Nothobranchius furzeri: one gene and its partner. The protein of the gene in region 1 interacts with the protein of each later gene in a biochemical or structural test. Links are inferred from orthologs where the notes say so. Each region holds a gene or a part of one and is shown on either strand. Other genes may lie near its edges.

Region 1 (3,650 bases):
AATGTGTCCCTCAAAGTGCAATATTCAATTCCACCTGTAGGTGGCAGCAACACAACACTGATATTGAACTAAATACCACATTTTGAACAAATAATCAGGTATAAATTCAACTCTATCTAACAGTGTGTGTGTGTGTGTGTGTGTGTGTGTGTGTGTGTGTGTGTGTGTGTGTGTGTGTGTGAATGAGGGAGTGCGAGAGAGAGAGGGCAGGAAAAAAAAAGAGCCAGCATCTTCTATCATGCTAGCTATTTCCTGTAGCAGCCAGCGACCCACAGACAATTTCAGATACACTTTTTGCTTAAAAATACTCCACTTCTCCCTAGCAACCAAATGTGACTGGCTGTTTAGCTGCAGCTCAGGAGTGATATTTGTGACTCTATTGGGTGAAATTCACACAACTAAGCAAAACTGAAACATTGATAGTAAATGATTTTTGTTAATTTTTTAAATAGTTTTTCCTGCCACATCAGCGAGGGCGACGTCCCAGCGCCCTCTATGGACAAGCCATCCTGGTCATAGAACACAATGAATTTAATTATTTTTCAGGTTATTTGCTCAGTCTTCTGACCGACAAGCTCATACGGACGAGTGATGGCGAGTGCTGACGCCACTAATTACTACGACTGAATACTACATGTTGTCCCAGAGCAACAGAGACAACCAAATCTTCTTCTAGTAGCTCATTGATTGTGAATGTTTGTCTAATTCTTGATATAAAATTAGTACTTTTCTTTTTTGTTGATTTAAAAGACTCCCAATCACATTTCAAACACAAATAAAATAGTAAAATTTCCAGCCATGAAGCAACAGACACAATCAATGCAAACACCGTCATCAGTCATGACTGGGGTTACATTCACAAAAGACACCTGGCTTGTTGCCTTCACTGCCTCTCCTACCCAGCAGCGGGCTCGGACGTATGCCAACATCTTGAGGAGGGAAAAAGATGTTTTTCAAAATAAAAGCACAACAGAAAACATAAGGAAAAAAAGTGAAAACAAGCAGGCATGTTGATGATGTCAAGGACATTACCACAATTTTTCGATTTGAAATAAAAACTAAATATTTGTAGACCATCTAGAAACTTCTACAGATGCAACGTAGATGGATGAAGTTCACCGTTCAACAGCTTTCACGTTACCTGCAGAGTCCTTTCTGACTGGCTGAGGACTCAGGCCTCCTTGAAGAATTTGGCAAAGCAGTGGAATGAAAGCCAAAAGTTACCACCTGCCTTAAAGATCTCGGCGTCCATTCATGCTCCTGATTCTTTTGGGACTGGAATCATTTTGAACAGTCAAGACAAATGTAGTTTACCTGAGGGTGGTGGTGGGCGTTGGGGCGGAGCTGGTCTGGCCGGTGGGGCGTTTGGGCGGGGAGGAGGAGCCCGTTTTGGCTCCAGGCCTGGACCTGTCGGAGCACCGGGCTGGAAGTCAACAGGAGGCCCTGGATGAAGATAAAATGCAGAAGAGCAATGTATTCATACAACTGGCCTTTTAACAATCTGTCTCCGAAAGAAAATACTTTTATTACGCATTAGGGGCTGCATGACTTAATTTTATTTAAAGTTGAATGAAAATCGAGTCGACTTTGACTAGTCGTTGATGACGTCATACACCTGAAGCGGCGCGCGGGGTCAGTTGGTTTGCTGGAGTTTATGACAACCAAAATTGCGGCCACATTTTCAAAGTTAAACACATCTCTTTTAACAGCGGTAGCCTCTGCATCTTTACTGTTCCCCTGCTTGAGCCCCCCCCCCTGCACAGTGCACCTGCAGCCTCTCGGAGTTCCTGCTGCTCTAAACATTAAAATAATTATTTAATTTTCTGTTCCTCACTTCTGATTACCTTCAGTGGTGTCTGTTTGTTGCAACCACCAGGTACAAAAACTAACTTGTTTTTATTTGACTATTTTTCTGTCCTGCCTGTTTATTATCTTCCTGCATCTCCTCTCAATCCTAAAGAAAAACTGCTACCTGGGTTCATATATATTCACCTCATGAGTTACCTTTGAACTGCAGTTATAAAAGCTCTACCGACCGCAAAAACAGCGGAGTGCTCGCCGGCCGCATCAGTGAGGTGCGTCACCGGAGGACAAAACAGGTGATGCGCCCCGATCCACAGCAGTGAAAAGCATCAGGCACAAATAAAAGACCGAAGACATAAAAGGAAATGAGCCGACATGAACGATCGCGTGTTAAATTAGTTTTTGAGGTGGCAACACCTGATTTGATAATGTTACTGTGGCCGTGCTCAGGATGCAGATGTCTGGAGCGCGTCATCGATCAGAGCTTTGCATGTGCAAGCTGGTTAAGGTTAGGATGGGGGTGAGGGGAAGGTTAAATTGCAAGAGGGTAAACGTCACAATTTGGTTAACTGTCCGTTTTACCACGGGTGTCAGTACCGACGCTCTGGCACAGTGCGTTGCCTCCCGACGCGCAGGAGCTTGTCACCTGCTGTCTTTCCGATGACTGCATCTTGTCGGTCATTATCACGTGACAGCGACTAGTCGATGACAGGCATAAAAAGTCACTACAGAGCAGTGAAGTCGACTAGTTCATACAACCCCTATTACGCATTAAAATATAGAACCATGCAGATTTGCTGCCTCTACATTAGATCAGAAGCTTTTTTCTTTTTACTAAAACATCTCACAAGTCCATCCCATCCAACATTTGTCTACTGTAGAAAAGTCAAAGTTAAATTTGACCAAAGAAAATATTAAGTTAACACTGCAAACCAACCCATCTGTAAGGGAAACACTTTACTAAGAAACCACACTTGCTAACACCCAACAGAGAACGCACCGCTACGCTCCGTTTTACCTGGAGGTTCCTCGCTCTGAGTGGACACACTTAAAGCGGCTTCCGCAAATTCCAAACACAACAGAATCAAAGTTATATTCCAGCAGGTGGAGACCACAACATGAAGATGTGATTTGGTTGTACTTTGTAATTAACCTTGTGACGGTCGAGTGGGTTGTGCACGAGTGGGTCTGCTGGGAGCAGAGGGCTCTCCCTGGGTAGGGGAGGGGCAAGGACTGCTGCGTGGAGACGGAAGAGGGGAGGATCCGGGAGCAGAGCCGGTTCCAGGCAGCAGGTGCTGAGGAAGGATGTCTTCCACCTCCTCGTCGACCTCACCTGGAGGAGAACACAGGTAGGGGACAATCCAGGTTTTGGAAAATGTCTTCCATGATTCTCCACATAGCTCAGTGACGACTTCTCACCTTCCATCTCAAAATCGTCATCACCCACGTACACATCCTCAGCGAGCAGCGTGGAGCTACTCGACGTGGGAATGCTTCCGCAGATCCTTTCTACACTCATCTCCTCCTCCAGACTCCTGATCCAGCCTGGACTCCTCAAGCGGACGTCTATCATCTTGTCCAGGACCTGCAAAATACATCCGATCAGAAAAGAAGGAAGACATTATTTGAGAAAGGTTGAATTACGACTGTCTTAAACAACCCTGCTGTTGCTTGCACCGGCTTTGCAGACGACGACGTCAGGTAAGTTGTATTTTATGAATGTATGATTGGCAGTTCTACTACTACTGAATTGATTTCAAAGTGCTTTTACTAGTTTAAATACCACTCAGTGGCATCTTCTTTCAAACGGGGTGAAGCTGCTTTTAGCTACTATGCTGCACACGAAT
Region 2 (3,650 bases), on another chromosome or scaffold:
ATTAATTCCACCTGTGCTGCTCCCTATTTAAGCACCTGGCTCCTGCTGCTCAGTGCGAGATCGTCTGCTGTCCTGCCAGTCCTTCGAGAGTTTGAACCTGCCTCCCTGTTCTTTACTGACCTCTGCCTGCCTAACCAAGGAACCCGTCTATTGCCTCAGCTCCAGCCTGAATCTGAGCACTCACCTTCATCAGCATTCCTCACCGCTGCTGTTTTCAGAAGGTCAGTCACTCTTCAGATGAAGACATCTGAATTATCTCCCTCGCTGACTGTTTTCTGTGTCCCGGGCCACGCCACCCGGAACCGACTCCTGCTGGTCCCGCTCACTTGAACAAGTCCTTTAATAAAATCTTTAAATCTTTCTCTGTGTTTGGCTGTTGTTGGATCCGGCTGATCGTCACTAGGTCTGACCGTGACATTTAAATCTAAATATTTAATTTTAATACATGAAACCTTTTTAAATTTTTGTAAATATTATGTACTTGTTTGACTTTTTAGTATAAATTAGGATTTCATGTGTTATGTTGGATATGAGGGAATGTATTTTCCCGCCACAGCTGCGTGTCTAACCAGTTCTTCAAGGACTGGGTCACTTACATCGCTCTCCAGCAGGTTGAACATGCTCTGCTCGGCTATCTCTTTGCTCTCGTCGAACTTCTCTAGCGCCTGTTTGATCTCCTCGTCCTGGACTTTCCCTTGACGCTTCTTCTTGTAGTCGAAGTCCAAACGACGGCCCTCCATCTTCTTCAGATGATGCTGCGAGGCGAGAGGAAACCAGTAACCATCTGATCCGGCTGACAGATCGGACCATCCACCGGGTCTGAATAGTTTATGCACCTGTATCTCCTTCAAGTCCTTGTCATGGAGGTTCTGCAGAGGGTCGATGAAGTTCTGTTTGACCTCCATGTCCAGAGCATCCTTCACCTCCCCGAGCTCCTTCATGGCCTCACCGGCGTCTATCAGCGCCGTTCCTGGAATCACGAGGAGAGAATCTGAGTTACTGTTAGAGTTCTTCTGGTTCTGGGTGGAAGATCTCTGGTCCTGGAACAGATGTTCTCTATTGTTGACTTACGGTCTCTTGAGTCATAATACAACACTAGACTGGAGGCGGAGTCGAGGCCAACAGCCAGTAAAAACTACATCTCCATGTCGGGACTCACCGAAACAGGACTCTTCTCCCAGCTCTCGTCCAAACTTCAGCATGGCGTCCCCCAGGATGGTCTCGGCCTGCGGGTACCCGGGCCCCTTCTCCTGGCCACGGATCTTGGACATAGTGTTGATCATGCTCAGCTTGGCTCTGGACGCTGGGAGGAGGGATCAGAGCGGTGAGTGGAGGTCACAGGAAGCTGCTGAGGGCAGCTTGGCATGCTTCTTACCTGGGTTGGGCTGAAGGTACTCTGTGGTTTTGGTCATGATGTCCAGAACCGCTCTGCTGGTGACGTCCACCTTCTGCGGAGGACACGTTTGGTAGAAACATCCCCGTTTACCCCCCGCTGTTCACAGGTTAAACGTAAACATCTCACCAGCTGTCGGGAGTTTTAAATAAAACCGCTGGATTTATCTGGACCGTGTGCAGAGTTAGAGGAGCCATTTCATGTTGGATCCCGTCATCCACTGCTGCTTCACCGCTAAATGATGTTAAAAACAAACGGTAGCTGAAACCAAACACCAAAATTAATAGGATGTTTTACATCTCATCTGTAAAACCGCTCCTTTAATGTTAGATTTTTAAAAGCACCGTTTAACCTAAATAAAAACCTGTTCAAGTTTTACTTCAGTAATAACAAGAACATGAATATTTCTATGAATTATTATAATTAATGATCAAATGTGTAGTTACTGTTATCTCCGTTAGGAATTTCCTCCTGCAGCTTTAAAAAAACTCCCAAATCCACTCTTAAATTTTGCGACGTGAAACCATTTTAGTACAAACACTTGTTTTCTCTCTAAACCAGGAAGTGACGAGTCTTTTTACCTCCTCATGTGGTGAAAGATCAAACACATGCACACCCACCTGATCCTTCTGCTGCTCACAGTTTAGGCACCTTTCAGTTGATTTTGGTTGCCATGGGGACCCTAATGGGCCACTGACAGTAGCTTTAACACTTCTGCTCACTTCTTCCACTGCCCCTATGCTTCAGGTCACATTTAAACAAAGCTAATTACCTTTTCCATTTCTTTGAAGTCATCGTCGAGTTTGGTTCCTTCCGCTCCTCCAACCTTCTCGCTGACTTTCTGCAGAGAGAAACCCACGTACACACAGAAGGAACGAGGGTTAAAACTGTCCCGTTTGACTCTTTAGGTCTATAAAATACCCATCTGTTTGCATTCGGGGCGATGATGGAGAGAAACCACAGTGCTGCTGGGAGATGAAAGTGTGTCGAATCCTCTACAGAACTCGGGTGTGAGATCAAACCCACGGGTTCATACGGGTGTAGTTAATAGATCATAATAAGGTACAGAGGGTAACAAACAGGCTAAATAATAGACTCAAGCTCACTAAGACTTCATTAAAATTATTTAATTCAACAGGTTAAAATAAATAAAGGAATGATAATTAGATGACAAGTAAAAATCTAGAAATCATGGTGGCGCAGTGGTTAGCATTGTTGCCTCGCAGCACGGAGGTTGCAGGTTCGAAACTCAGCTGTGGCCTTTCTGCGTGGAGTTGCGTGTTCTTCCCATGCATGCGTGGGTTTCCCCCGGGTTTCCCCCACAGATCACAACACGCCCTATAGGTTATAAATTGTAAGTCGCTTTGGATAAAAGCGTCTGCTAAATGAATAAACAAAATAAACAAATAAAAAATCAATCCGAGTCAGAAAACAAGAATAAAAGTATTAAAACAACAAGTTAAAGCTTTGAACACGTAAAATGTTCAAGAGCAGGTGGTTTCTGATCTTGTTTCCACACACAAACGGTCTAACTTGTGTTTGTTGCACAAAAGCCACGAGTGACTTTTCTTTAATGTTTTCACTGGGTGAATTCTCGTTTTCCCCGTGTTCGTGTCGAATAAAAGCCGCTCTTGCTTTTAGGAATGAATGACTTTTTTTTTAAACGGTTCTTTTTTCACCCAGATCCACATTCAGAAAAGAGTCAAAATTAAAAACACAAACTAACGATCTGATAAAAAAGCACCCATTTTTATGTAAACAGCAGAAATAAAACTTCTAACTTGAAACCAGTGTTAAAATCTTTTTTCATTTAGTTTCAGTCTTTTGACTAAAATTCTTATTAATTAAACGATGTTTCTCTGCGGTCATTACAACATTACTAATTTACACAGAAACACCGTTAAAATATGTCAAACACATCAACATCCTTTAGAAACGACAAATGAAAAGATGATGCTGGTTTTCCTGAGTGAAGCTCCTGCATTGAACTGGTTCCTCGTAATTTCTACTCAAGAGTTCATGAAACCTGTAATAAACACAATAAACATCATGTGTTCAGCTTGGCTGACTGCAGGTTTATTAGTTTTAAGTTCCGATTCTCCTCGGAAATAATTATTTCTGCTTAGCTGGCCACAAAGGGAGCAGCAAGTGCTGATCAGGGATGCTGCTCCATCTCTAATAGCCTCAGGGTGCAGTGATGAAGGAGGAGATGGGCCACCAGCGAGCCATCCTTTATTCTCTCACGCAGAACACTCCA

The links. The genes of interacting proteins can lie anywhere in the genome.
Region 2: the proteins of synj1 (region 1) and endophilin-A1 form a complex in vitro, tested with the Homo sapiens proteins (2 studies listed by BioGRID and IntAct, with this or other methods). The link is inferred for Nothobranchius furzeri from reciprocal best matches to the Homo sapiens genes SYNJ1 and SH3GL2.

Annotation. Positions count from the first base shown.
Region 1 is NC_091750.1:63,449,424-63,453,073, reverse strand, and holds part of synj1 (synaptojanin-1), read right to left. Parts: intron 3,389-3,650; coding exon 3,223-3,388; intron 3,137-3,222; coding exon 2,957-3,136; intron 2,861-2,956; coding exon 2,822-2,860; intron 1,444-2,821; coding exon 1,315-1,443; intron 1,181-1,314; coding exon 1,142-1,180; intron 930-1,141; coding exon 870-929; intron 1-869. UniProt on the Homo sapiens protein: Phosphatase that acts on various phosphoinositides, including phosphatidylinositol 4-phosphate, phosphatidylinositol (4,5)-bisphosphate and phosphatidylinositol (3,4,5)-trisphosphate. Has a role in clathrin-mediated endocytosis.
Region 2 is NC_091742.1:89,729,698-89,733,347, forward strand, and holds part of endophilin-A1, read right to left. Parts: intron 2,235-3,650; coding exon 2,166-2,234; intron 1,655-2,165; exon of another isoform or gene 1,523-1,654; intron 1,449-1,522; coding exon 1,376-1,448; intron 1,304-1,375; coding exon 1,160-1,303; intron 971-1,159; coding exon 837-970; intron 756-836; coding exon 597-755; intron 1-596. UniProt on the Homo sapiens protein: Implicated in synaptic vesicle endocytosis. May recruit other proteins to membranes with high curvature. Required for BDNF-dependent dendrite outgrowth.